Canis lupus familiaris: one gene and its partners. Each later gene encodes a partner of the first gene's protein in a complex. Links are inferred from orthologs where the notes say so. Each region holds a gene or a part of one and is shown in the gene's direction. Other genes may lie near its edges. The genes, in order: CLOCK, ARNTL and CIPC.

The links.
Region 2: the proteins of CLOCK (region 1) and ARNTL are in contact, whole or in part, in a crystal structure (PDB 4F3L), measured with the Mus musculus proteins. The link is inferred for Canis lupus familiaris from reciprocal best matches to the Homo sapiens genes CLOCK and BMAL1. Residues at the interface, in NP_001276755.1 of Mus musculus: Arg46, Gln49, Phe50, Leu53, Ile54, Glu56, Leu57, Met60, Leu61, Pro62, Lys70, Ser71, Leu74, Gln75, Ser77, Ile78, Phe80, Leu81, Arg82, His84, Lys85, Thr88, Glu95, Ile96, Gln98, Asp99, Trp100, Pro102, Phe104, Leu105; in XP_030097882.1 of Mus musculus: Lys70, Met71, Phe74, Ile75, Glu77, Leu78, Ser80, Leu81, Val82, Asp93, Leu95, Leu98, Arg99, Ala101, Val102, His104, Met105, Lys106, Leu108, Arg109, Gly110, Ala118, Tyr120, Lys121, Pro122, Phe124, Leu125, Asp127, Asp128, Glu129.
Region 3: the proteins of CLOCK (region 1) and CIPC are in contact, whole or in part, in a crystal structure (PDB 5VJI), measured with the Mus musculus proteins. The link is inferred for Canis lupus familiaris from reciprocal best matches to the Homo sapiens genes CLOCK and CIPC. Residues at the interface, in NP_001276755.1 of Mus musculus: Gln519, Leu526, Lys527, Leu530, Arg533, Ile537, Asn540, Ile541, Arg543, Gln544, Glu547, Leu548, Ile551, Gln554, Leu555, Val558; in XP_006515773.1 of Mus musculus: Asn401, Thr402, Val405, Leu406, Ser409, Leu411, Ile414, Thr415, Thr418, Leu421, Ile422, Asn425, Thr428, Gln429, Leu432, Leu435, Lys436, Thr439, Gln440, Phe442, Ile443, Thr446.

The regions. Positions count from the first base shown.
Region 1 is NC_049234.1:48,466,583-48,475,763, reverse strand, and holds part of CLOCK (circadian locomoter output cycles protein kaput), read left to right. Parts: intron 1-1,332; coding exon 1,333-1,474; intron 1,475-3,886; coding exon 3,887-3,987; intron 3,988-4,511; coding exon 4,512-4,601; intron 4,602-7,813; coding exon 7,814-7,966; intron 7,967-8,796; coding exon 8,797-9,006; intron 9,007-9,181. UniProt on the Homo sapiens protein: Transcriptional activator which forms a core component of the circadian clock.
Region 2 is NC_049242.1:36,824,762-36,834,619, forward strand, and holds the start of ARNTL (aryl hydrocarbon receptor nuclear translocator-like protein 1), read left to right. Parts: upstream 1-4,550; 5' UTR 4,551-4,705; intron 4,706-9,858. UniProt on the Homo sapiens protein: Transcriptional activator which forms a core component of the circadian clock.
Region 3 is NC_049229.1:50,240,300-50,250,237, forward strand, and holds the start of CIPC (CLOCK-interacting pacemaker), read left to right. Parts: upstream 1-4,257; 5' UTR 4,258-4,281; intron 4,282-4,663; exon of another isoform or gene 4,664-4,793; intron 4,794-4,797; exon of another isoform or gene 4,798-4,930; intron 4,931-5,055; exon of another isoform or gene 5,056-5,156; intron 5,157-9,938.

The DNA.
Region 1 (9,181 bases):
GCAAATGGATATTCAGAGGTGAGGTTGAGGATAGATTTGGCTGATTATGGGTAATATTCCACTGTATGGATATATACCACATTTTGTTTATTCATCTAGCAATGCACACTTGGGTTGCACCTATCTTTTGGGTACTGTGAATCATGCTGCTGTGAACATGAGTGTACAAATATTTGTTTGAGTCTGCTTTCAATTCTTTTGAGTATATACCTAGAAATGGAATTACTAGATCATGTAGTAATTTTATATGTAAGTTTTGAGGAATTGTCATACTGTTTTCTTTAGTGGCTGCACTATTTTATATTCCCACCAGCAGTGTACAAAATTTCCGGTTTATCCTTGTCAAACCTGGTGATTTTGTGTTTTTTTATTTTATTTTTTTTTTTGTTTTTTTTTTGTTTTGTTTTTTTTTTTTGTTTTTTTATTTTAAATAATAGTCATCCTGATGGGTTTAAAGTGGTTATCTCACGGCTTTGATACGCATTTCCCAAATGATTAGTGACATTAATCATCTTTTCATGTGTTTTATTGGCCATTTATGTATCTTCTTTTGAGAAATATCTTTGTAAGACCTTTGTTTTTAAATTGGATTTGGGCAGCCCTGGTGGCGCAGCGGTTTAGGGCCACCTGCAGCCCAGGGCGTGATCCTGGAGACCCTGGATCGAGTCCCACATCAGGCTCTCTCTGTATGATGCCTGCTTCTCCTCTGCCTGTGTCTCTGCCTCTCTCTCTCTCTCTCTCTGTCTCTGTGAATAAATAAAAATAAAATCTTTAAAAAATAAAAAAAAAATAAATTGGATTCTTCGGGGGAAGGTTGCTGTTTAATTGTAAGGTTCTTTATATATTGCGGGTGTTAATCCCTTATCAGATAAGTGGTTTGCAAGTGTTTTCTCCCATCCCATGGGCTGCCTTTCCACTCTATTTGTAGTGTCATTTGATGCACATTTGTTTCCTATGCTTTTAGTGTCACATGCAAGAAGTCTGCCCAATCCAGGGTCATAAAGCTTTTCCCCTTTTCTTCTAAAAGTTTTATAGTTTTAGTTCTTATGCTTAGGTCATTGATCTATTTGAGTTAATTTTTATATATGGTATAAATTAAGAAAGACTATAGCTTCATTCTTTCACATCTGTTTCTGTAAATAGAGAATAAAGCCAAAATTTTCTGGCTATAGAAAAGAAACTTTTATTTCCTTACCTAATATTACACAGGTACCTTTGCCTTGTTGTGGGTAAAAACTGATTTTGGGGAGGAAGGGGTAGCAGGCTGTATCATTAATTTGGAATCTCTGAACTGAATCTCAAGAATACATTTATTTTACTCTGTCTCTTTAGAGCCAAGATTCTGGGTCTGATAATCGTATAAACACAGTCAGTCTCAAGGAAGCCTTGGAAAGGTTTGATCACAGCCCAACCCCGTCTGCTTCCTCCCGGAGTTCAAGAAAATCATCTCACACAGCAGTCTCAGACCCTTCCTGTAAGTATCCTAGCTTGAAAGCACTTTCTCTCAAGAGAGTACTTCTAATGTGTTACTAGTATCAGCATTTTTCATCAAATGCTACTTTATTTCTTATATGGAAAGGTTTACTGTAGTATTGATTGAAGTACTCTTTTTAGATCTTTTTCTTTTTAGTTGAATTATAATTAACATATGGTGTCATATTAGCTTCAAGTGTACAATATGATGACTTAACAATTCTATAAATAGTGCTCATCATGATAAGATCTTGATCCACTTCACCAATTTAAGAAACAAAACAAATGAACAAAGAAAAAACAAAGAACCAGATTCTTAAATATAGAAAACAGACTGGTTGCTTGCCAGAGGGGAGACAAGTGGGAAGGTGGGTGAAATGCTACTTCAAAATGATAAATTTAAAAAATAAAATGATAAATTTTTGCATCTCTGAAATATACTAACCTTCCAATGAGCAAAAAGCATGTCGCTCACATTTAACAAAGAATTAAATTTATAAAGAAGCCTATAAAATGTTTAGGTAGTACTGTTGGTATTGTTAAGTTGCTTTTAATCATCCCTCAAAAATAAAAAAGCAAAACTGTTTATTCCTTTATTTACTGGTAGAACCAGCCAGTGTTCTTTAAGTTTGCTTTTTTTTTTTTTTTTTTTAAGATTTTTTTTTATTTGAGAGGAAGAGTGCAAATGCACAAGTTGCAGGAGGAGCAGAAGGAGTGGGAGAAGCAGGTTCCCCACCCAGCAGGCAGTCTGACCTATGTATGGCTCAAAGCCAGGACCCTGAGATCATGACCTAAGCCGAAGGCAGATGATTAAACTGACAGAGCCACCCAGCCACTTTTTTTTTTTTTAAGCCTGCTTTTTGAATGTTATTTTTAGTTCTTATTTTTAATGAAGACTTGTATAATTATCATTGAATTAGTGACCTTTTTTTGTTTAAAGAGTTTAGCACTTTTATTTCCCAGGTATTAAAACTATGTAAGGAAAAAGGTTGTTGGAACCACTCAACACCGTGAGTAGACCATTAGAGGTGTTAAACATGGAGTTTCTGAAATGTTGGAGAAAAAAGTTTCCCCTTTGAAGCTGTTTTTCTCTTTTTATACATTTTATTTTACTGTGATAAGAATGCTTAAAGTGAGGTCTACCCTCTTAAATTTTTAAACATACAATGCATTATTGTTGACTGTAGGTTGTAGTGCAGATCTCTAGAGCTTATTCATTGTACTTAACGGAAACAGTTTACCCATTCATTAATAACTCCTTATTTTCTTGTATCCCCCCACAGCCCTTGGCAATCACCATTCTACTCTTTGATTCAATGAATTTCTGTATTTTAGATGCCTCATATAATGGAGTCATGTAGTACTTGTCTTTTCATCTTTGGGTTTTTGTACTTATTAGCATAATGTCCTCAAGATTCATCCAAATTGTCATAACTTGCAAAATTTCATTCTTTTTAAAGGTTGAATAGTATTTCATTGTACGTATATTACCACATTTTGTTTTTCCATTCATCTGTCAGTAGACAGATTGTTTCCACATCTTAGCTATAAAGAATAGTGCTACAGTGAGTGAACATAGGAGTGCTAGTATCTCTTCGAGATCTGATTTCAGTTCTCTTGGATAAATACTCAGAAGTGAAATTGCTGGATCACATGTGGTAGTTCTATTTTTAATTTTTTGAGAAACTTCCATTATTGTTTCCCATGGTGACTGTACCGTTTCATATCCCCCCACCAATTTTAAGTGTACAAGGATTCCAATTTCTTTACATTCTCAGCAACACTTCTTGTTTTTTTGATAATAGCCATCTTGTCAGGTGTGAAGTAGTATCTCATTGTGATTTTGATTTGTGTTTCCCTGATGATGAGTGACCTTTAACATTTTTTCATATTCTGGTTGGCCATTTGTGTATCTTCTTGAAGAAATGTCTATTCAAGTCATTAGGCCATTTTTTAATTGAGTTACTAGGATTTTTTACTATTGAGTTCGGGGACTAGTAACCATTTTTTTTTTTTAAAGATTTTATTTATTCATGAGAGACAGAGAGAGAGAGAGATTGAGAGGCAGAGGGAGAAGCAGGCTCCATGCAGGGAGCCTGACTCGGGACTCGATCCCAGGACTCCAGGATCAGGCCCTGGGCTGAAGGCGGCACTAAACTGCTGAGCCACCCAGGCTGCCCGACTAGTAACCATTTTTAAGCTTAAAGTTTGCCTATTTCAAAGATTTTCTTTGTCCTTAAGAAAGAAGTAATCAAAATGAATCCTCTTATTGTCAGACTTCCCTTTTATAAAATAATTAGAAAAATAGTTGAAATATTATTTTTATTCACCAAAATCCATTTTGAGATTAATCCTTGGGAATTAACATTTTATAAAGTACTAACACTATTTCATTTTTGTTGACTAACCTCAGCAACACCAACAAAGATCCCAACGGACACTAGCACTCCTCCCAGACCACATTTACCATCTCATGAAAAGATGGCGCCAAGGAGGGCATCATTTAGTAGTCAGGTAAACTTTCCTACTTAATATTCTTCTGAATAAAGATTTATTAGAAGGAGGGGGAAGTCATCTAAATCTTTAGAAATTCATTAATGCATTATCCTTTTCTATAAAGATCAAAATAGCTGTTGATAAATAACACTTGCAATCTTTCCCTTTTTGTGAAATAGCTCTCAAACATACTCCTTTTGCTTGTTTTCCAGGTATAATGTTAGACATTTCTTTTAATTAAGAAAAGTTAATAATTAAACCATTTATATCTAGTTTTGAATACTAATCACTTTTATGTCCATTTGACTTTTATTGAAAGCCCATGCAAAATAATGTGGCAGATGTCTTAGAAGATAAAAGGATAAATAGGGAATAGGCATGTCCAGTGTAGAGGGGAAGATGTGCATACACCTGTACTCAGCTAAAAATGTTATGAGGCAAATTGTAGTTCAGTTATAAAGATGCCATGTGGTATTTCTGTGGAAGTACTTATGGATGGGAGTAATTGTCACTCTAGTATTATTTTTTATTTTGCTTCCTAGTCCATAAATTCCCAGTCTGTTGGTCAGTCGTTAACACAGCCAGCGATGTCTCAAGCTGCAAATTTACCAATTCCACAAGGCATGTCCCAGGTATTTTTGTTTATTTGTTTGAGTTGAGTATTTTAAAATGATAAATTGTTTTTAAGCTAATAAAGATTTGAAAAATCTATATATTTTTAGTGCAGTGAATCTCACCTGTGGGCATTTATGTCTGGGGGATATTTCTGATTGTCAGTGATTGTGGAGTACCACTGACCCATAATAGGCAGGGGCTAGGGATGCTAGTTGTCTTTCAGTATGCATGACAGTTTTGCACAACAAAAAATTATCCTGGTTTATATGCTATAACACCCCCACTGAGAGTATAGACAGAAAGATATTAAAGATGAAATATAGCTGTCGATTTTGTTATTCCTATGGATATTGGAAGAATCAAGTAATTTTATTCATGTATCCATTCATTTGTATATGGGACATTTATTGAGTTCCTTGAGTTATTGCAGGTGCCGGCAGTACAAATACAAGTATACTGTTAAACATTTAAAAGCAATGACCTAGAACTACATTGCTAATGTTATGTAGTCTGTGCTTAAGGTGTATAGGCTGATATGTGAGTGCATTAGATGGACTCCTAATGCAGCCTGAGGAAGTGAAGGAAAACTTTCTGGAAGAATTGTTGCTTGGGCTGAGTCCTGAAGGGGCCTATAGCAAGACAGAGGAGAGGTATTACAAAAGGGACACGAAGTTACTTCTGATTATAACTTCCCAACTTGTAATTTATGACTCTGCATTCATTCAGTGCCTCAAACACATTAAAAATACTAGATAGTGGTAAAAAGAATCCAAACTGTTTTATTTGCTTAACTATATCTTCACTTAGTATTTCAAATGATGATAGTTAACAATAGGTAAAAATGGTTTTCTAAAAATACCTTTATCTTATATGGTTATTATTTAAATTATATGTACATAATTATAGCCATTATATGAGACCTGTACAAATATATTGACAGTGTTGTAAATTACCTAAACATTGTAATCTTGACTTACAGCAACATGATCATGTAAGGTGCTTACGTATTATCTGTAGTCATAATAGTTTTTATCAACATTGAGTCCTCAAATGCTTTTTGTTCTGAAGGTTAACAGATTTTTTATGTAAATATTTAGATGTGCTTTCAATATTATTTGTTCACTCATCTCAAGATACTGAATGAGTATTTCTTAACATTTTAAGGGATATTTTCATGAAATTAATAATGTCTGCTATGTCAAAAATGTTAACAAGTGTCAGATCTCATATTTTGTTGAGTGAGAAAGCCACTTTACCTCTTAGTTCCTTTTATTTTTTATTTCCTGTTACTGTGCCTTCTGTTTATATCTTTTATTTGCATTTAATAGAAATCCTTTAAGTGATGACAATATAATGTTTACCCAAAGGTGTAAATAATTTTTAAGATAAGATACATCATATGATATAATTATAACATTTTGGATAATATTTTTTTAAGGCATGAGGGAGCTGAGGTACAAAATTTGAAATATTTTGTCATAGTGTAATCAAATGCAGGATATGAGGTGATGATTGTCAACTTCAGAAGTCAGAGTTGTATACCTTTTGAAGAGTAATATTCAGTATCCTCAACACAAACTTTTGAAGATAGAGAAAAAATCTTTTGGTGGGAGGGCATTTCTCACTTTTAGATGCAGTTCACTCAAGGAGACTTTCTTTTTATGATTTCATTTATTTGAGAGAGAGAGAGCATGTGCAAGAGAGTACATGGAGGGAGGAGCAGAAGGAGAAGCAGAGGCTCCCCACTGAGCAGGGAGCCCAAAGTGTAGGGCTCAATCCCAGGACCCCAGGATCGTGACCTGAGCCGAAGGCAGATACTTAATTGACTAAGCCACCCAGGTGCCCCTGTAGGAGACTATTTTAAGATTAAGATGCTTTTCCAATAAATTGGAATTCTTTCTGCTAAACTATGTCCTAAGCTAAATATTCATGGAAATAATTAAATGAGCATTTATACACTTAAGTGATGAATCACTAAGTGTGGCTAAATTTCAAGCTAGTAAATAGAAGCTGCTTATGACTCAAGTGAAACAGTGAAATAAGATTGAAAATCCTGGAAGTAGGATAACTGTTTTCATTCTTGTATGCATTTTTTCATTCATAATTACTTAGTTTGTAAAAGTCTACATTTCATACTTGTCTGAGAACAGTTTCAGTTGAAAATATGAGTAAAAATATGGTTAGTTATCTGTTAGATTTTTATAACCTAATGGTGTGTACAAAGAGGACATTCTAGGGATAACAGAATTTGATATAAATAATTCTAGGAGCAGGCTACTTTTTCATTTGTTAAATGGTAGAAATTAAGCAACTTGTTCTAGGAAATGGTAGAGCCACAATATGAGCTCTGTTCTTTTTTTGTTGTTATTTTAGAGAGAGAGAAACAGCACATGCACCGTGTGTGAGAGGGAAGGGGCAAAAGGAGAGGGAGAAAGAGAAAATCTCAAGCAGACTTCATGCTGAGCTCAGAGCCAGAAGCAGTCAGGGCTCAATCTCAGAACCCTGTGATCATGACCTGAGCCAAAATCAAGAGTTGCAGGCTTAACCAATTGAGCCACCCAGGCATTCGTGAGCTCTGGTCTTCTAATGCCAGTGTGTACTTCTAATCAGTCAAGATCCAGTCAGAAGGCAGAAGCCATACCAGAAATTTGAAATAGGGGTAATAATTTTAAAAATTATTAACTAGTAACAATTCCAAAGAATATAGGAAAATGGATGTAAAGAGCAGTTAGTGAGACGGAGACTATGCAAAGAAGGAACAAGTTGGAAAACTCTCCCGACCTCCTAAACTCTTCTCCAGCCAGGTTGAAACTCACTTTCCATTGGGGTTGATATGGCTGCAGCAGCCACTTGATGGAAGAACGGTTCACTGAGGTGCCACAGACCAGGGCTGGAGAGTAGGAAGCCACCTGCTGGGATACCAGCAAAATTTTCAAGGGAGCATCCCATTAGGAGGCCAGTAAGACTTGCTGGAAAGTCATCTCCCTTTTCAGTAATAATTTCTCCCTTTGCAGTATCCCTCTAGCTCCATCTACTGACATGACTAAGTTTGTGTCTGCTGACAAATATTTATAGGTCCAGCCAAGCAAAGGTGGGTGAATTAGGTAATACATTGATAACTGGCATAACATTCTTGTCTCATGATATATTTATTCTACTTATTTTTCCCAATTATGAAGAGTAAGTGATTCTAAAATATGTTACACTTTTCCCATACATGGTACTTCAGTTTCAGTTTTCAGCTCAACTAGGAGCCATGCAGCATCTAAAAGACCAATTAGAGCAACGAACACGGATGATAGAAGCAAATATTCATCGACAACAAGAAGAACTAAGAAAAATTCAGGAACAACTTCAAATGGTCCATGGTCAAGGGCTGCAAGTAAGTTGTTATTACATTTGAATACAAGCAAAGCAAGCCATTTATATTTTAGTTTCTTAGGAAAGTTGACTTTTCTTAATTAAAAATAAGTAAGAGATACAGTTCATCAATTTAGTTGAGTAAATACTCATTGGTTACCTACTCAGTATGATTGCACTTACAGTCAGATTCATTCCTAAGAGTATTTCCATCAACATCCTTGTTTCTCCAGATCAGAGTCTCCTTTAGCAGTCTAACTTTTAGTAAGCTTAAACCCGTAATAGAAAAATAATATTTTATATAGACTTTTAGGTACAGAGTTTATAAATCAGTCATCAGTCATTATTTTAGTAAAATACTAGAAGATATGATTTGAACTAGTCTTATTTGGTCAAAGGACAGGGCCACTGTAAAGTTGTATCTCTCAGAGGAGACTTAGATTTTGGGGTAGGGAAACTTTAAGTTAAAACTACTTCTATCTAATGCCATACATTATAAACAGTGAGTGATGCAGAACCGCAGGTCCATAGACCTTTTGGGTAGCTAGTAGAACAGACAATGCCCAATATGTAAGATGTTCAAACAAGTGGAAGTTTTGAAGTTTATACGCCTTTTTCTGACAATTGGAAACACAATAGGGTTAGGATGACTGGAAGAACAAATATGAATTCTGTTTTATTCAGTAATTGTTTATTGTTGCTAATTGTTCACTCAAAATGACTTAGCCATCCTCTTTGCTTTTTAAAAACTTAATTCATAGCTTGTTTTTGCTTCCTTTTTTTTTGATTGCTCTCATTCTTCTTTGTTTTTAATCTACAAAGTTCATTTTAATGTAATCTTTATTTTTAAAGATGTTTTTACAACAATCAACCCCTGGTTTGAATTTTGGTTCTGTTCAACTTTCTTCTGGAAATTCATCTAACATCCAGCAACTCGCACCTATAAATATGCAGGGCCAGGTCGTTCAAACTAACCAAATTCAAAGTGGAATGAATACTGGACACATTGGCACAACTCAACATATGATACCACAGCAGACTTTACAGAGTACATCAAGTCAGGTAACATTATCAAGTGCAGTGGGGTATGGAATGTTCAGTGGTTGAAATGTATACTATTGTGAAAACAAAAATGAAATCTGTCTGGAATCATTCCGTACTTTAACCTTTTAATAGTAATAATTAGAAAGCTTAGTTTTGAAGGTGATCATTAACATATTTTGTGAAAAATTGTTAA
Region 2 (9,858 bases), on another chromosome or scaffold:
CTCAGTCCATGTCCCCCACTTTGAGAATGACCTGTCTGAGCCTCTCCTGTTCTCCCTTTCTCAGCCAGTCGTTGAAAGCATTCACGAAGGGCCATGTACAAATGGGGTGGAGGGTGAAGAGCTATAGGGAAAGAGAATCATAAAGTGCACAGAGGGAAGACAAGTCCAGAGGATGCATGACCCTGGAGAAGGAGGTGAAGAGAACGAAGGAGGAGATGGGAACTGCTTCGTGCCAATGGCACCTCGGTTCTGGTCCTTTCGAAGGGCTAGCTGTGCTTCACACCATGAAATATTCTTATCTCCTCCCAATAAACCTCCCCCTCTGGGCTTAAGTTTGTTGAAGAGGCTTCCGTTTCTCGCATTGCCTAAATGTGCGGTGACACCCTTATCCCGAAGGCATAGTTCTGGGCATTCTTTTCTCTATAAGAAACCCAAGCAACTCACCACCTTTGAATTGATGACTCCTAAATCTGTGTCTCTAAAATACAAAGTTTCTTCCTTTTCCAAAGGAATTGTCTCAAAGGAATTGTCTAAAGGAAGAGGTGATTTGCTGAAGCAGTTAAGAGTGTGGGCTCTGGGTTCTGATTGCCTAATTAGCCTGGGATCTCAGGACCTTTCTGTGCTTCAGTTTTCCCATCTGTAAAATAGGAATAAGAAAAGAATCTACCTTATAGGGGTTTGAGAGAATTGAAGAGTTGATGCATATAAAGCTCTTAGTATAGCATTGACACATTGTAAACCTGTAGTAAATATTGTTGTTATTTTTTAAATTTTCTTTGTTATTAATGTTATTTTTAGCAACACATTCCTACCTGGCTTTCTACAGAAAAACACGTCCGTCTTAGGACTTCTCAGCTTCCTTCCAAAGAGACCACAACTACCTAACTTCCTGGTCCTATTATTGGCTCCTCCATTCAATCTAGCAGTCCTGAAATTTGACTTCATGTCTGTTTGACTTTGGGGTCTGGATTTATTCCATTAGACTAGCAGTTCCCAAATAGGACTGCCTCTCAGATACCAAAGATTTTGAATCAGAATCTTCCAAATTAGGACTTGAGAATCTGTATTAAAACAAAACAAAACAAAACAAAACAAAAAAGACCTCCTCAGTTAATTCTAAGGGATCTGACCATTGGATCAGAGTTTGGGGAACTACTGTGGATTATACTATTTTATCCTCACTGGTTTTATCTGTAAAGTGGGTGCAGTAAATACCTCTTTCATAAATTGCTAACCTAGTATGTATTGAATCTTTCCTGTGTGCCAGGTACTATGCTAAGGATTTTCTATCTATTGTCTCATTTAACTCTCACAGCAATCTTGTGAAGTAGATACTAGATTAACCCCATATTACAGATGAGGAAACTAGTGTTGCTTGATAAAAGCCATCCAGTTAGGCAAGTGTGGAGAGTAAGCATATCAACTGCTGGACTTAATGAGGATAGTATATTAGATAATGTATCTAAAGCACATGGTACACAGTAGGTGCTCAATAAATGTTCCCTATCCCCTTCCTTTTATCTATATAATTTTATTCATGCCCACTGAATTTTAGATTCAGGACAATACTTCAACCTTAACAGTGCCCAGAAAATTAAAAACCAGTATTCTGGTAGGTAGAAAATAAAAGGGAAGTGAGTCCCAGTGGAAGATGGAGGTTGCTTGGGATCTCCAACAGAAAACAAACAAATAAACACAACTATAGCTACTTATGGGAGAACAGGGTCACTTGAGGAGAAACAGTAGCTGGGCCACTGAGGGTACTGAAAAGTACTGAGGGTACTGAGGGTACACTGAAAAGTCAGGGTGATAAACTTTAAAAGAGGAGGACCAAGGTATGAAGGTAGAACCATGTCATCTCAGAGAGGCAGAGCCCTGGAAGGACACCTGTTCCAGGCCCCGTCCCACCACATGGTCATCCAATTATTATGTAGACACTTTCTGTACAGGAGATTCAACTTATCAAGGCAGAGGAGGTTCTATTAGTTAGAAAACTCTTCATATTGTTTCATTCTAGAGGTTCTACTACAGGTCCCCCTTCCACCCTTCAGGGCTTGAAGAATGAGCCTAATTCTCTTCTTTCACAGCCCTTCACATGTATGAAGACAGTTATCTTATACTTCCTGGGGCAAAAATCTTCTGCTTCCTTTAATCTTTCCTCATATGACATATTCCCAGCCTCTTGACTTCCTGGTCTCTCTCCTTGTGCCTGTTTTTACTTTTCTTTTGCCAGACCTTAACTGGAGACACTATGTGTGTGATGACCAACACTGGGTGGTACTGTAACACCCAACTTGCTTTCACATGTCAGACTTTTATCGATGCAGCCTAAGACAAGCATCCATTTATCTGGGCAGCCATACTGAGGACTCAGATCGCATTGTCTGCCCCCTAAGACCCATTAGGTTTGCTCTTATAAGCATCTGTTTAGATACCTCTGCTTTTCTGCATTTAGTTTCCCAGGGTGGGACCCCCCCCTCCACATTTATCCCTGGGAGAGCTAGCCCATTGCTCCCAGATTGCATTTGGCTGATGCTATGCAACAACACCTCTTCCCTTCCTAGTTTTGTGTCATCTAGAAATGTGATGCAAACCGTCTGGGTTTTCATTCGGAGCACCGATAAAAGTCCTGAAGCCTAGGCCCTGCAGACAGCTGTCAGTCATTCTTTTTTTTTTAATAATTTATTTTTTATTGGTGTTCAATTTGCCAACATATAGAATAACACCCAGTGCTCATCCCATCAAGTGCCCCCCTCAGTGCCCGTCACCCAGTCCGTCTGTCATTCTTGATGGGAACTGGTATGGTATGAAGGTTTTGAAGTCAAATAAACTTGGGTTTGGTTTCTGGTTCTGCCACCTACTGCGTGATATTGGACTAGCTGGTTAACGCTTTGAGCTTCAGTTTCCTCATCTGTAAGGTAGGGTTGTGAGGGGCAAGGGAGAAGCTGCAGGGAAAGCATTCAGCACATGGATTCATTAGTCAGCGTCTGTAGGTTATGGTTACTTAACCTACCTAACCACTTATTCATCCAATTAATATACTAGACCCGGGCTAGTATATATACTACAATCAACTATATACTAGAACCCGGGCCTATATTTCTTCATCTTGTCCGCGAATATCTTGTTAAGTGCATTGCTAGAAATGCCACTTCGGTAGAGTGGTTTCCTTAGGAGATCAGGGCGGGGACGACGTAAACAGCAATCAGATCCCAGCTGCATATAAATTTAGGAAAGATAGTGAGCTACCAGTGAAGTTGGGTGACCTCGACAACAGTCAATACACCGGCCGCAGGCGCGTACTGGGCAACCACTCCGTGCCTGGCAGTGAGCTGGGGACAGCAAGGATTTTTACAATTGAAAGGCAGTGTCTGGTGTTCAAGGAAAGAGGCTACAATTCCAGCGTCAGAGGGGCTGGTCTGGGTCATGGAGCTGAGGGCAGAGGTTTGCATCCACTGGTTCTTGCCTCAAGCACTCGGTTAGGCGTCAGGCCCCTGCCCCCAGCCGTCCATCCCATTCCCCGGAGGCGCCCGAGGGGCGCGGGGTGAGTGAGAGGAAGGCGGGGAAGAACGTCGCCGTCCCGCGCGGGGGGCCCAACATCTGGAAGGTGGAGGTGTTCGCGCTGGAGGCCTCTGCTAAGTGCTTGGGGTGCACAACCACGGCTCGCGTCTTCTCAGCACCTGCGACGGGTCCTTGCGAGGAGACCGTTCATTTTGTTGGTAGCCGTTCCCTTCCGTCCGCTCCCGGGGCCAGCCTTCGGCCGCAGGGGCGCGGGGGCGGGGGGGGGGGGGCGGGGGCCCGGGGCGGGGCGCCTCTGCAGACCCCGAGGCCGCGCTCCCTTTGGACCCCGCAAGCCCGGCTGCTCGGGGTCCGGCGCTCTGCGTTCCCAAGACTGGTTTCCTAGATGGAGTCGGAGGGAGGCGAGCGAGGAGGCGCTGCTGGGTTTTTCTTTTCTTTTCTTTCTTTTCTTTTTTTTTTTGGTTGTTGTCAGGGTGCCCGAGGGCAGGAGGGGGAGGAGGAGGGGGCAGAGCGCGCGCGCCAGGGCCCCGGGCGGAGAGGGGCAGCCCCGGCGCCCCGAGGAGCGCGGCGTCCGCGCCCGCAGCGGCCGCCCGAGCCCGAGCCCGAGTCCGAGCCCGAGCCCGAGCCCGAGCCCTAAGGGGCAGGGACGCGGCCGGGGCGAGGAAATCCGGGGGAGGCGCGCCGATTGGTGCGCTGGTCGGGGCGTGCGCTCCCGGGCGCCCCGTGATTGGTGGCGGGAAAGCGGCAGGTAGCCCGGCCCCCCGCCGCCACGCCATTGGCCGGCGGGCTCTCCGGCTGCCACGCCATTGGCCGGCGGGCTGCCCGGCTGCCACGCCATTGGCCGGCGGGCCGCGCAGCCGCGCGCCGATTGGCCGGGGCCGGCCGCCGAGCCCGGCTCCCTTCGGGCGCCCGGATTGGCTGGCGGGGAGAGGCAGGTATCCGGGCTCCGCGGCTCCTCCATTGGTGGGCGGGGAAGGGGGGTTGGGCGCCGCGATTGGTGGGCGGGGGGCCGGGCCTGGGCCGGCGGGGAGCGGATTGGTCGGAAAGTAGGTTAGTGGTGCGACATTTAGGGAAGGCAGAAAGTAGGTCAGGGACGGAGGTGCCTGTTTACCCGCGCCGGACTCACCGCCGCCGCCGCCGCGGGATCCGAGTGGGGGCGCGGACGCGGGCGCTCCCGCGAGCCTCGGTGAGTGTCGGGCTGGCGGCGGCCAGCGGCGCGGCCCCGCGCTCCCCGTCGGGGGCCGTTAGCACCCGGGCAGGCGCGGCGCCCCCGCCACCGCCCCGGGGCGCAGCCCGGCCGCCGGGGCGCCCTGCCCGACGTGCCCGCTGCCGGCCTTAAAGGGCCCGTGCCCGCTCCCATGCCCCCACCCGGCCGCGGGGAGGCTGCGCCCCTTAAAGGCGCCGCGCGCGGCCGCCCCCATCCTCTCCCGCGGGGGCTGGCGCTGCAGGGTAGGGCGGGCAGAGGTGCCGCAGGCGCCCTTAAAGGGACCGGAGAGTGTCCGCGGGAGCGCCCACCTCCCCTCCGCGGGCATCGCTACCTGCCGGGGCGGGAGGCAGCCGCCAGCTGCCTCTTAAAGGGGCAGCTCCGCCCTTGGGGAGCCAGGATCCGGCTCAGGGCGCGTCTCAGGATGTATCCCCGGGAGCTGGGGCGGGGGGTGGGGGGGCCGGGGGGACCCCCGAGTGGACCGTTCTTGACGGCTGCACCCCCAAGGGCGCTGGGCGAGCAGCGCCTCTCCTGCCCTCCCTCCTCGCCATCTCCTGCGCTTCCCTTTCCAGAGCCTGCGGGGCTGGGAGGGGGCGGGAGGGCGTCTCCGTCGGGCTCGGGGAGCGCGAGTCCGCTCGCCCCTTCGGCCCTGTCCCGTCGCGGGGCCCGGGCGCTGCCCTCCCCCCCGTCCCTCCCCCCCCCCCCCCCGGGAATGTGGGGCCCCGGCTGGGGCGGACCTCAGCCCGCGAACTTTCGTCCGGCCCGCGCCGCCCGTGTCCCCGGCGGCCCCGGGAGCATCCTCCGTGGGGCTCTGAGCAGGTGCCCGACGGCTCGGGGATGTCCCGCCCGCCCGGCGTCCAGGCGTGGGCCCGCCGCCCGCCCGCGGAGCCCTGGAGCCCCGGAGCCCCGCGGAGGGCGCAGCCGGCCCGGCCCCAGCGCGGGGCTTGACAGATGTCAGCAAAGGAAGGTTCCCGCTCGCGAGGGCCGGCGCTGACGGCCGCGAGAGCTGCGGTGTGCCGGGCGGTGCAAGTGCAAGAGTGGGAGTGGGTGCCGACCGCGGGGCCTGAGTCAGCGACCCCCGGAGGGGTCTCGGGAGCCGGCGGCGCGGGGCGCGGGCAGGTGTCCGAGGGCCGGCGCGGGGCGGGGGGTGGGGGGGGAAGGGGCGCCCTGGACCTTGGCGTCGGGTGGCCCTGCCTGCCCCGGCCGACGGGGGACCAGGCTGACACCCTCCCTCCACGTCCCTATCCCCGTCTCCCTCCTCTGCTCGGCCCCTGGCCCCTCCCCGGCCCAGGAGCCTTGCTAGTCTCTGCTCCCTGCTTACAGAGCTGCTCCCCAGCCTGGAGTTATTAGCCGAGTTTTCTCACCTAGCTTCCAGAAATAAGATTCGGTATTTGTGAGGAAGCATGTCTTGACTGTAGCTGTATTTCCAGGGTCTTCGTTTTTATTTATTTATTTATTTTTTTTAAGAATCCACAAACGCTGCCCATTAGATGATGCATCTCGGTTCCCACAAGGCTTGCCTGTCCTTCTGACATCTGCTGCTGTTCCCCCACTTTAATCTATTTTTATGTGACAACTATTATTTTAATTCTTCTGGTCCCATTGATATCAGGATCTGTCAATTTGGGTTGGTGGAGTTTTTAATTAATGTACTGGTTGAATCATGAGCTTAAAATAATCAGTGCTGCTCCTGAGCAGTTTAGAATAATCTCATGCTCTTCGTGCTTGCAAGTAAAAGGAAAAAAAAAAAAAAAAAGTCACTGCTGTTAAATTACATTTCCATATCAATGAAACTCCAAAAATATTTTTTTCAAACATAAATATTGAATTTTTTGGTCCATGATCTGTTACTGAGTTCACTTGATTGGTAAGTCTTTCAAAACAGTTTGTTGAAGCTATTTGGAAGGCTTTGGAATTGCCTATATCATCTGAAGCTGGATCTGTGGAGGTATTTTGTTTTGATGGTTAGATGTAGCCAGTGAAGAAGAATAATTTAAACTGTAGTTAAATGTACGCCTTTTTCCAACCCCTCAAGTTTAAAGAGAAGGCGAGAGAAAGGAACAAGCGGTGGAAGAGCACTAGCCTGAGAGTCGGAACATGCTGGTTCTGGCCCAGATTTGGGTTTTCACGGCTGTGCCACTTGGGGCAAGTCACTGAACCCCTCTGGGTTCTGTTTGCCTCAGATGGAAAGTAAGGCAGTTGAAATAGGTGATCTCAAAGGTACCTCCTGCCCTAGAGTCCTCTACATCTCTTAATATTTAATACGTTTGAGTTCAGGTTGGTATTTACATCCAGAACATCTGAGCTGAAGTCCTATTTTCACAGGAAACTTAAACAGAACAACAGATGGGGTTTTTAAAGAATCCATTTCGAATGATTTATAAAATGATGACTACTCGGGAGTTTGTCTGCCTTCTGCAGAAGAGGTTTGCATACCACATGGAAGAAAAGGAAGTGGCCGTGTTTTCAGATTTATCCTTCCACGCCAGCAATCTCTGTGCAATTTATGTATTCCACGATGAACGAGCACTGTGGAAAGACTTGGCTATGTTAACAAAACTGCATGAGAGTATATAAAAACTAAATATTTAATATCTCTCTTTGGTGTAAGAGTTGCTTTCCTTCTGTGAGCTTTCTTCTGTTTGCGATTGCAACATCAGCTCTGAGGGTGGTTAGAGAAAGTCAGTATCAAAGAAACAATTTCTGCCCCTTACGACGTTACAGTTACAGGATGATTTTAGTTAGCATCACGGTAGATACTGGCAGGGAAGTAAAAAATCCTCTCTAGACCTTGAGGTTTAGTGAAGAGCCCAGAAACACAGGCACGCCACCCTCTGCAGTCTTTTCTTTCCTCATTGCCACTTTGCCACTTTGTCACAACAAAAGTACCCCAAACACCCACCCTGGCTTTTCTCCTCTTTCTCTCTCAAAACAGGACCTGCTCCGACTTGAACTGTCAGCATCTCTTCCTTCTTGCTCAAAATGTCCTGCCACCCCCCACCCCCCTCATGTCTCCTCCTCTCTTTCCAGTTCAGAAAAAGCAACTGGATCTCTCTCTTCTGTTTCTTTTTCTTGGACCTTCACTTTGGGCGGGAGCCTGGACTCTGGTGCCAGGACTTAGGACTTGGGTTCTGATTAGACAAGTGCTTGACCCCTCTGCGCACAGGCTCCTCCCCTGTGGTGTAGCAACAGTGCCTGTCTCATGGAGTCTGCGTGAGGATCAAGGGAGATGGTGCATGTAAAATGCTTGGCACACAGGAAGCCCTCCCTCAGCGCCTGCTGCCACGCCCTCCCACCGCTGCCAGGGTCCTGCCCCCTGAATATCCTCCATGCTGTTTGTCCTCAGCCTCCTCACCAACCCCAGAAAAGCATTCATCTCAATTTAGTAGAGGAAGGACAGAAGGGGGGGAAAAACAGCCCTTCTGTGGGCCTGTGATGCAGCAGGCAGCTTTCACTTGTCTGTACAGGGTACCCCTGAATCTGGATGTCTGTCTCCCCTCTCCCTGCCCGGCAGCCTCTTGCAGGGCTGTGAACGTTCACCTCTTCCACTCTCTCATTTGCTCTGTCTGTCACTCCCACCCTCTGGCTGCTCTCTCTACAACCCTTCTCTGTTGTTCTCACAGATCTCCAAAAACTTTAAGTCTTGAATTCCAGGGGCCTGTCCTTAATCCAGAATGGTTGTTCTGGGTCCCTCTGCAGCTGTTCCCCTACCTTTCATTCCATCCGTCTTCAAATTCCCTCTTCCTTCAGCCTTTGGGTCATGATGCTTTCTTGGTCCTCTTCCTGCACACCCTTAAAGGTGGGTGTTTGCCCTGCCCACTGCTCTTCATACTGTTCCTCTCACCCAGGGTCCCATTTTCAGTCCCAATCTGTCTCTCCTGCTTCAGCTGCTAGCAGGTTCATCGTACACATTAATGGCCCCTGGAGCCAGCATTTGTGATCTTGGAGTCATAGGCTGCATGCTACTTGCAAGTGCTGTCTCATCGCACTGGTGCCTGTACCCCTCGACCCCCAAGCTGTCCCAAGAGGCAGTCTGTTTGAGTGGTGAAAAGTGCAGATTGCACATCCTAACTCTTCCTTACCAGCTTTATGATTTGTGGTCAAGTTCCTTGCTTGCTAGGTCTTGGTCTCCTCAGTGATAAGCCTGGGATCGCTGGAGTCCTTACCTCAAAGAGTTGTGGTGTAGATTAAGTGAGTTAAAACTATTTAAAAATACATGAAGCTATTCATGGCACACAACAAGCATTCAGTGAGTGTTAGCTCTTGGTGCTTCTCCTTCTTGCCTCTGCATATCCAGCCTGCCTGGCTGTGTGCACAGGACTATCCAGTCAAACTGAGGGGCTATCTGTTCCCTGGACCAGCCCTTGGCCCACTCCATGTTCCAACTCTCTCATGCCAAAATCTTATTCTTCTCTAAGACCCAGCTCAAAGCTTGGTCCTCCAGGAGCTATTTCTTCATTGTGGTTGTTTTCCTCCTCACACCTGGCAGCAGTGTCCCCAAGGCCTGGATTTAGCTTGAATTGGTAGGCACTGCTGCATGTGTTGGGCTGTTTCGGGGACTAGCTCCCCTCCTTGCTCAGGCTAAGCACTTTGGGGGGGAATTCGTCTTGATTTCCCCAAGTCGCCTTCAGGATGTGCTTGTCCAATCTCAATTAATGATCCTTTGAGGAGGAGATGAGGGGATGGGGTGCATCAGGGACGTGCGTTGGACATGGCCAGGAGTAGTTAGATCTACAGGGAGGAGAGATTTGAGTTTGGGACTTAATGTGGTCAGAGGGATGAGATTGGATCAGCTTTAGTCATCTTTGCTTTAGGGGAATGTCGAGTGCTGGCATATGATGAGAAATGATTTTTACGTTAGTACATGCTGTCCTTTCAAACAGCGTAAACTCATGTTCATCCAGCCTGGTTAAAGAAGGGGATGGAGGTCTGCTGGATATCCTATTCTGGGTAATATGCTACCCATTGGATTTTGTATGTATACCAAGTAAAACATTTCCATATATTTACATCTTCAACTACTGTTTGAAATATGTGACCTGGGCAAATTAGTTAGCTGCTTATTACCTCATTTGCAAAATAGAAATAATAGTACTGATGGTATTAGTGGCTAACATTTTATTGAACACTTTCTG
Region 3 (9,938 bases), on another chromosome or scaffold:
GAGACCCTGGCAAATAACATGGTGTTTTTATGTTAGTTTACTCTGTAAAATGAGAATAATGATACCTCAACCATCCCCTGGGACTCTGTGAGGACTAAATTAGTAAATCTGGGCAAGACATTTAAGACAGCGACTAACAAATAGTAAGCACTCTGTTAGTGGTCATGAAAAAATTTGTCTTAGGTTCTAGAGTATTTGCAAGTCAAGCAATTTTACTTAAAGGAATTTCAGGTACCAGCAAGAAAACAGAGAGCTATTTGGTGGTGGGGCTTCCATTGCCCCTGAAATAAAACCTGTGCCTGTATATTAATGTCCTGATTGTGACTTAAATGTTATTGTCTTCCCTGCTTTTCCAGATAGCCCCTAAGAATATGAGCCCCAAACCAAGCTGGCTGATGGGGGCCTAGTCACCTGACTGCTAAGAAAAAAAGCAGCATGAATCCCACTGTCACCCACCTCTGCCCCTGCCAGCCTGGGACCTGTAGATCCCTCTGCCCATGCACAGGCTAGGGCCCCTGTCCTCTTCTCTCACCAACTCACGGCTCTGGGACTCCAGAGTATACACATACCTATCATCCCAGCAAATCCTCTTAAAACACTGTGAGTCTAATGCTAGATTCAGTCTAGAGGATAGCTACTTGACAGATGGCCAGACTAAGGTTTGGGAAAATACAAGATGGTTCTCAGGTGCTGGTCCAAGAACTGATGCCTTGAGGTGATGTTTTCACTGGTCCTCAACAAAACTGGAAAAATAAGAAGCATGCAATGAATTTTTCATGAAGTAGAAATTATTTCATTTTTAAATCATGAGATTATGGCCTATCTTCCTTCCTGGGTATATGTGGGGGAAAGATGTTAAAATGCCCTTATTTTTTTTTTAAAGATTTTATTTATTTATTCATGAGACACAGAGAGAGAGAGAGAGAGAGGCAAAGACACAGGCAGAGAGAGAAGCAGGCTCCATGCAGAAGCCTGACGTGGGACTTGATCTGGGTCTCCAGGATCACGCCCTGGGCTCAAGGCGGCGCTAAACCACTGAGCCACCTGGGCTGGCCAAAATGCCCTTATTTTATAAAATGATATTGATAGAAGCAGGGATTTGAAACTTCATCTTTTGAATACTTTCACTCTATTCACTCTATTTCAATTACTTTAAAATAGTTCTAAGCTAATTTTAACTTTAAATTCAACTTTACATATTAAAATAAGTATTAGACAATTAATTACAAGTGTTTTAAATTATAGACCATATTGTATACTTGAAAATATCTTCAAACGAAACTGAACACAAGGTTGACTCTTCCTGGCATCCTTGTGCAGGACTGAAATGCAAATCTTCATATGGACAAGGGAGTCAACAGCTTAATAAAGTAGGCTGGGTGGAAGTGCAGCTTCTGACTCCATGCTGCAGCATTCCAGGGCCGGAGAAAGGAAAAGAAGCCAATTTGCAAAACCTTGAGTGTAGCATTTAAGGGAGCAGGTCTCCCCCTGCTGGCAGTGGTGGTGGCAAAACGAGTCTTGAACACAAGGGGTACGGAGAACTCCAACTGGAAAGGACTCTTCAGCAAGAAGACATTGTGCTCTGATACCCACTCTCCTCATAGGAACCTTAGCCTAAATGTAAGCGTGACAGTAAAGATGAAAGAAGTCATGGCACCAAGGAAACCATCAACAAAGATGCTGATTTACAAACCCTGGCAAATGAACAAAGCCAGGAAGAAAATTTTTTTTTAAATTTATTTATTTATGATAGTCACAGAGAGAGAGAGAGGCAGAGACACAGGCAGAGGGAGAAGCAGGCTCCATGCACCGGGAGCCCGACGTGGGACTCGATCCCAGGTCTCCAGGATCGCGCCCTGGGCCAAAGGCAGGCGCCAAACCGCTGCGCCACCCAGGGATCCCAGGAAGAAAATTTTTTACATTGGTTTAGCTATATAAAAATATTATTCATTTAAAAAATTACCTGTTTTTATGAATTGCTTATTTTATTTTTTAAAAAGATTTTATTTATTTATTTATTTATTTATTTATTTATTTATTTATTTATTTATTTATTTATTTATTTATTTATAGAGACACAGAGAGAGAGAGAGCGGCAGAAACACAGGCAGAGGGAGAAGCAGGCTCCATGCAGGGAGCCTGATGTGGGACTCGATCCGGGTCTCCAGGATCACATCCTGGGCTGCAGGCGGTGCTAAACCGCTGCACCACCAGGGCTGCCCCGAATTGCTTATTTTATATCATTAGTTATATAAATCCATACTCAACAAAAATCACACCTGTCAAATTAAATTGGTCTGATTTTGGTTCCATTAGCAAACTTGTCCTTAAAGTTCAAGTTATTGCTGCAGCATGAATGTCTGCTCATAAAACAGGTAAAATAAGGTAAGTCTGGTTTACTTGCACCTTTGGGGGACTAAAATAATCCTCACGCTTTGCCTTATTTCATTGATTCCCTGTTGCCTGGTATGCATTATGCCCTCATCTACTTCCATTATCGTAAATCCAACTTTTATCTGTCCTTAAAGCTTTACCTTCTGCTCTCTTCCTTCTCCGACAACAAAAAAACAACTGAAGGCTCTTTTTTTTCTTCCTTGATTTTATTAATTAGCTTATGGTCAGAATCCTCTGACACTTAACAACATTCTCACATAGTTTATTAGAGCATGTCTTTCCCATATCAGATTCTAAGGTGTCTGAAGACAAAGACTGTTTTATTCTGTCCCCCCCCCCCATAAAAAGAAGCAATATGGTTAATGGTTCAGATCTCTGACTTAGTAGTTTGTGTCATCAGTAGCATAAACCTCATTGCTCTCATATCTGTCAACTACAAATGATAGGAGCACCAACCTCATAAATTTGCAGAAGCATCGTGAGAGAATGCATGTTAAAGCTGCCTGGATCTTAATTACTTGATAATTGTTAACTATTGTTTTCACTCCCTCCATCCCCTCAACAAAAGCCTTACACGCTGTAGGCATTCAATTATTATTTGTTGGTGGGGCTTAGGCTAATAAAAACATTGATGTGGAGTAATGCATTAGCATTATCTGTGTCTAGAGGACTAACGTGATTAACCATGACCTAGCAGCGCTTAAAAAGGCTCGGATTACCAACACGGGGCGATTTCCTCCCCGACCCGTGATCCCGATCCGGTGGTGGAATACAACTCTGTGATACTGGCAATGTGCTGCTATCATCTGCGAGGCCCAATAAGGTAGCCGTTTAGCTACACGTGGCCATGGAGGGTTTGAAATGAGGCTGGTGCAAATGAGGCGCTGGAAATTTTAGATTTCTTTTAAATATATATATATATAATATAAACATATATATTATATATTTTTATAATATAAAAATATATACGTTATAATATATAATATATATTTTTATAATATATATTATATATATATATATATTTTTTTTTTTGAGAGCTAGAGCCTGAGCAAGCACGGGGGTGGGGGTGGGGGTGGGTTGGGATTGGCTAAAAGAGAGGGAGAAGCAGGTTTCCTGCTTAGCAGGGGTCAGGGGCTGGACTCCAGTCTCATGACCCTGGGATCACGGCCTAAACTGAAGGCAGAGGCTTAACCGACTCAGCTACCCAGTCATCTCTGAAATTTTGTAATTTTTTATAAAAGATTTCATTCATTTATTCATGAGAGACACACAAAGAGGCAGAGACGCAGGCAGAGGGAGAAGCAGGCTCCACGCGGGGAGCCCGACGCGGGGCTCGATCCCGGGTCTCCAGGATCAGGCCCTGGGCCGAAGGCGGGCGCTAAACCGCTGAGCCACCCGGGCTGCCCTAAATAAAATCTTTAAAAAATAAACCATCGCTAGTGATTAAGCGGCGACTAGATAGGGCAGCTCTAGAAGTCGCCTCCACCTGTCGGTCCCTGTGCATGCACCTTAGAAGGACCGTCTCCTAATGAGGAGCCCTCCCTGCTCGGATGCAGGAGAGGTGATCCCGGCCCCTTTTCCTTGAGCTTCTGTACACGCGTGCTCGCTGTGACCCGTACCCACTTACAGCCCGCCAGCTCGCGCGGTCGCAGGGGGCAAAGCAAGCAAGCGTGCGTCCAACGACGCGGAGCCACCGACAGAAGCACCGACCGCGCCCCTGCCTCGTGCACCACCGTCTCCAGGTGGCTGGGAACGCCCGCCCGCCCAGCCCAGCCGCGCCGCCCACCGTCCCACGTGCCCGCCGGCAGGCCCGTCCGCACCGCCGGCCCGCGGGGGTCCCTGCGTACAGACCGGGAGCCACTCCCTCGGCCACCTCCGTCCGCTCGGGTCCGCTCCACGCCCGGCCCCCCGTGGCTCCTCCAAACCCCGCCTCGGAGCCGTGCCCGCCCGGCTCTGCGCTGGGGGAGGGGGCGGGGTGGGGAGGGGTCTCTAACCCTAACCCTGACCCTGACCCTAACCCTGTACAAAATGGCGGCGAACCCGCGGAACCAACCATAGAGACGCCCGCCTCCCGCGGAGAGAGTGTAGGCCTCTTAGGGACGCCCGCGCCTCCCTGAGAGGCGTCCCGCCTCGCCTTCCGGTGGGGGGCGGGGCCCTTCTAGGAGAACCGTCGGCGGTCTCCATGGTGCCGGGTCCTCCGAGCCGAGTCACGTGGCCGGAGAGCGCCGCCGCGGAGGCGGAGGGAGGAGAAATGGGCGGGAGGCGCGCGGGTGGGGGTGGGGGTGGGGAGTAGCTCGAGACCCGGCGCCGGCGGGGTTGTCATGGAGCCGCGGGGCCGGGCTCGCGCATGCGCCGCCTGACCCGCGGGGCCGGTCGTGGAGAGGCGACCTCGGCCCTAGGTGAGAGTGGGAGGGCTGGGCCCCGGGGTAGAGGGTCCGCGCCGGGAGCGTGGGCCAAGGCGCAGGAGTAGCGGAGAGGAGGGAAGCGGCGTGGGCAAAAGAGAGGGCCAGACTCTGGGGGGACGGAGGGCCGAAAGGTGGGAGCAGGGGGCGGTGCGTCTGTCCCCCTTTTAGTCGGTTGCGGTGGCTGCGAGGGGCGCGGCTGCGTGGGCGAGGAGGCGGCGGGGCCCGGGGGCCGAGCGTGCCGAGCGAGTGGGGTACGCGGCCGGGGCGGCGGGGCCCTGGGCTGGGTCTGCTGGGCGCGGGCGGCGGCGAGCCCGCAGGCCTCCAGGGGCTCCGAGCAGAGGCGCGGGGAACGGGCAGGTGAGCGGGCGCGGGGCTGGCAGCGCGGGGAGGGCCCCGCGCCTCCAGGGTGGGGGTGCACGTAGGGCCCCTTCCTCGGCCCGGGACGCAGGGGTGCTGCCTTTTGCAGAGACCTGCTGTCACCCACTTGGCTGGCTGTGTCTCCCGGGTGGCCAGCTTGCCAGGTATGGTGCCAGCGCGTGGGGAGGTGGGGGGAGAAGGTGCGCAGCGCCAAGTGAGGAGTTAGTGCTTAGTGGGGGGAGGTTCGGGTAGTTCTGAGCCGGGCTCAGGGCACAGGCCGCAGCCGGGCTCCCTGTTATTGCCCAAGCCCTGGCAGTGCACATTGCCTGGGCGTTTGCCCCGGGAGTCTGGTGGTATGCCAGTCACAGCACAGTCCTAGGGTCTGCCCAGTTCTGCCCTGCTGAGCTGGCAGGCTGGTGGATGCCTGGAGGGTGCTCCTACTGTCTGGCACAGATGCAGCGTGGGCTGGTGCGAACGGGGAGGTGGGCACTGTTACTGTGAACCCTTCTGGGAAGCTGGGGATTTGGAGAATTTCTCTGATCTTATCTCCTCTTTGAAAGAGGAGAATGGAGGGAGCCATATCTGGTCCTCCAAACAGGACATCGTGTGGAATCGGGGTTTGGGATCTTTGACATAAATTTGCAGCCAAGTTGGAGAATGGAAGTGGATGTGAAAGGGGAGGATGAATATTTGAGATTTAGGTTGGGGGACGGGGTCCTCCCTCTGTTAACACACACAGACATTTCCCCCGAGTGGTATCTCCCACATGGACACCAGGAGAAAATAACTTCAGGGAAAAGCCAGTAATGTATTTATAATTCTAGCTGGGATTACTCATGATTTTCTGGGTGGTAAGGTCTTAATTTTTATGGCCTTGTGCTTTTTTTGTAATTAAGCCTCTGCTTGGGCTTTCACCTCACACCTCTGTCCATGCACGCATGTTATCCACGTGATGCATTTTAAAGGGAACTTGAGCTCTTGGGAAAGTTGCCAAGTGTCTATAAAAGGAAAGATCTGAGAGCAGCATTTCAGATCCTTTCCTTGTAAACCTTGGGTCTCCCTTTTATCAGAAGCCTAAATCTCCATAAAGATTGTGGATTAGACAACCTTTAATTCAGTTGGTGGATTTACCCCTGAGGTTTCACCTTAGAATAAGGGGTAGATGAGATACCTGTTTCTCACAGGAGACCAGACCTGGAAGTTAGATCTTGAGGTGATCATGGTGTTTGGAAATGCAGTCTTGACCTTCAAGCTGTTCAGGTATTTCGGTGACAGCTAAGCTGCTCTGCTGTCAGCGAGACTCAGCAGGACAGAAGATTTGTTGGAATGTATTATTCTGTTGAGGACCTCACATATTAATTGTGCAGGGTTGAGGTTGCAAAGATGGAAAAAAAAAAAAAGAGAACTCTTGAGGTTGAGGAGACAAATAACTAGACCCTAATGTAAGGAGTGTAAAAATAGAAGATCCAAGTGCTATGGAGCACTTGTTAGAATTTTATGTTATACTTATTTATATAAACTTCTGTATTTATCGATTCACTTTTTTTTTTTTTTAAGATTTTATTTATTTATTCGTGAGAGACACAGGCAGAGGGAGAAGCAGGCTCCATGCAGGGAGCCCGACGTGGGACTCGATCCTGGGTCTCCAGGGTCAGGCCCTGGACCGAAGGTGGTGCTAAACCGCTGAGCCACCCAGGTCACCCTCAATTCACTTTCTATTATGAGTTTCATGTGTACTCTTCCCTCTGGGAACATTTTGGACAATGTGTTACGGTTGCATTTAGAAGAGGCCCCTTTAGGGTCGATTCTGACAGTCTAAGGGTACTTAAGCTGGAGTCCTTTCAATGGAAAGTCAGACATGTGAGGACCTCAGATGTTTGTAAAGCAGGGTGCGTTAGTGGTTTCCAGTCTGTGCCAGGAAGCAGGAGATGGCATGGTGGGTGAGAGCTCAGTAACCCATTCCCAACTGCTAGTCAGCTTATGAGCATCTAAGTTCAATGTAAAATAATATTGAAGAGGAAAAAAAATCTTAAGGTTTTCAGACTGCTGGTTGCACGGGCCTTGGATTTGAGAGCGGTGGTAGTAAGTTCCCCCGCTGCGTGCTTGTCTCATGTCATGGGCCTCACGTGGCGCTGTGCATGAGTGGATCTGTTGTTCACTGGCTCATTGACGTCCCCAATGCCACACCCAGGAAGGCAGTGCCTCTCCTCTCAGAGAGGACAGGTCAAGGTGGGATGATGTAGCCCTTCATTACCCATCCCATGGAAACCTTCCCAAGGCTTAAAAAGAACTCTACTTAGGACAGAGGCTTCCATGTTTTTAGTCACTTTCACATCCAAAGTAGTTTGCCTTTTTTTTTTTTTTTAAGATTTTATTTATTTGAGAGAGAGAGCGAGAGCGTGAGCAGATGGAGAGGAAGAAGCAGATTCCCTGCTGAGCAGGGAGCCCAACGTGGGACTCGATCCCAGGACCCCTGGATCATGACCTGAGCCAAAGGCAGATTTTTAAACGACTGAACCACCCAGCCTCCCCTGTGTGCTGTTCTAAAGTGGATTATGCATTCTTTATTTCCAGCTGCCACCAATTTTCTGGGGCTTAACATTTTTGCATCTGTTCTCCTTTTAACCTATTGGCCAATGTTTGTGTTTTGATTCCACAATTAGTATTGTCCTGCACATTCTCAATGAGCCAGAAAATTCCTACATATCTTCTGTAGTTCCGTTGACCACACTAACAGTAACAGTAACAGTAGCAAGACCTTTTTCGTTGTCTTTTCAAAAGGATTATAGACCAAACTGGGGTGCTTTATCGAAAATACCTGTAAAATAATTCATCTCTAGTAAGGTAATGTGGAACTCTGCCAAGTGCTCAATTAGTTGCAACTAACATGAGCTACCCTTCCTGATCAAAATCAACAGCAGGGTCAGACTTGAATAAGTCTCATTGCCCATCTACAAGCTACATCTCCTTCCATTTTGAAGAAGCTTCGGGTTTACTTTCCATGGTATTACTTCAGAAAAATGAAACTATGCACATTTGTTGGGTTCCATACAAAAGGATCCTGATTAAATTAGAGATGCAGTTCTACATTTCGGTCTACTTTTTTTTTTTTTTTTTTTTAAGATTTTATTTATTCACGAAAGACACAGAGAGAGGCACAGACACAGGCAGAGGGAGAAGTAGGCTCCCCGCGGGGAGCCCAGTACGGGACTCAATCCCAGGACCCAAGATCATGACCTGAGCCAAAGGCAGATGCTCAACCACTGGGCCTCCCAGGTCTACCTTTTCAACTGGATTATTCATGCTGTCAAACATCATAGCTACCCACTAGAGATATCACTTTTCTATTGTGCTATGCAAGATTGCACAGTGCCATTGTGTATCTTGTGCACATGGTACTTAACTTGTGACCTGTGTAAGAGTGGTTTGACTGACTGAAGCGGGGAAGCCAGTCCCCTTGAATAAGTTATGGTCCAAATAGTTTTTACTTGGAGTTGTGTTTTGTTTTTTTTTTAAGATTTTATTTATTTGACAGAGCGAACACACAAGCAGGAGAAGTAACAAGCAGAGGGAGAGGGAGAAGCAGGCTCCCCACTCAGCAGGGAGCCCGAGGTAGGGCTCAATCCGGGGACCCTGAGGTTGTGAACTGAGACGAAGGCAGATGCTTAACTGACTGAGCCACCCTGGTGCCCCTGGAGTTGTGTTTAAAATTCAGTCTCATTCAGATGAGTTCCCTTTAGGGACACCTGGGTGGTCCAGCAGTTGAGCGTTTGCCTTCGTCTCAGGGCGTGATCTCAGATCATGATTCCGGGGTCCTGGGATTGAGTCCCACATCAGGCTCCCTGCATGGAGCCTGCTTCTCCCTCTGCCTGTGTCTCTGCCTCTCTCTGTGTCTTTCATGAATAAATAAAATCTTAAAAAAAAAAAAAAAGAAAAGAAGATTTCCCTTTAGTCCACTTCTACTGTATGAAAAGTAGGAGCAAAATGATTGCTCGTAAACATCCTTGTCTTTAATTTTATCTTAAATTGCTCCTCTGCTTCTGGAGTAGTTGATGTTCTTCACTAGATCCTCTGCTAGGGAAATGTTCAGACGTGGCATTTCAGGGTATTCCAGATACAGTGCCCTTTGGCAGGGAGCTCGTGTTTCGCTCCACTCAGAAAGATGAATGGATGGAGCCGCAAGTGGACTGTGAATTAAAACATCACCAAGCATTGTTTATATCTAATATCTTTGTGCATTCATGGTGCTGTAACAAAACAGCACAGACTGCGTAGCTTATAAACAACAAAAATGTATTTCTCACAGTTCTGGAGGCTGGAAGTCCAAGATCAGGGGATGAGCACAGTCGTCTTCTGGGTCCCAGAATGTTCACAGTCCTGTGGTGGAAGAGGCAAGGGATCTCTCTGGAGTCTGGTTTATAGTGCACTAATCGAATTCACAAGGGCTCCACCATCATGATTCAAGCACCTCCCAAAGGCCCCACCTCCTAATGCCATCCTCTCTAGGGGTTAGGATTTCAACATATGAATTCTACCCAGTTTTCATTGCCCTTGCCATTTTTCCTGTCCTCTTTATCCCTGCAATGGCCTTTGTGGTCTTATGCCATCCTAACCACTGCCATTCCACAGGATTCAGATGTCCTTGTTAAAATATGTAGAATGTTCTCAGCCTCTGCCAGCCCTTTGAAGGGTTCATTTGTCTCATTCTTTTCACTGCTAGCCAAATTCTGGATCTGCTATGGACAAGGTGTGTCACTGGGGCAAGTCTAGGCTTCTTTAACT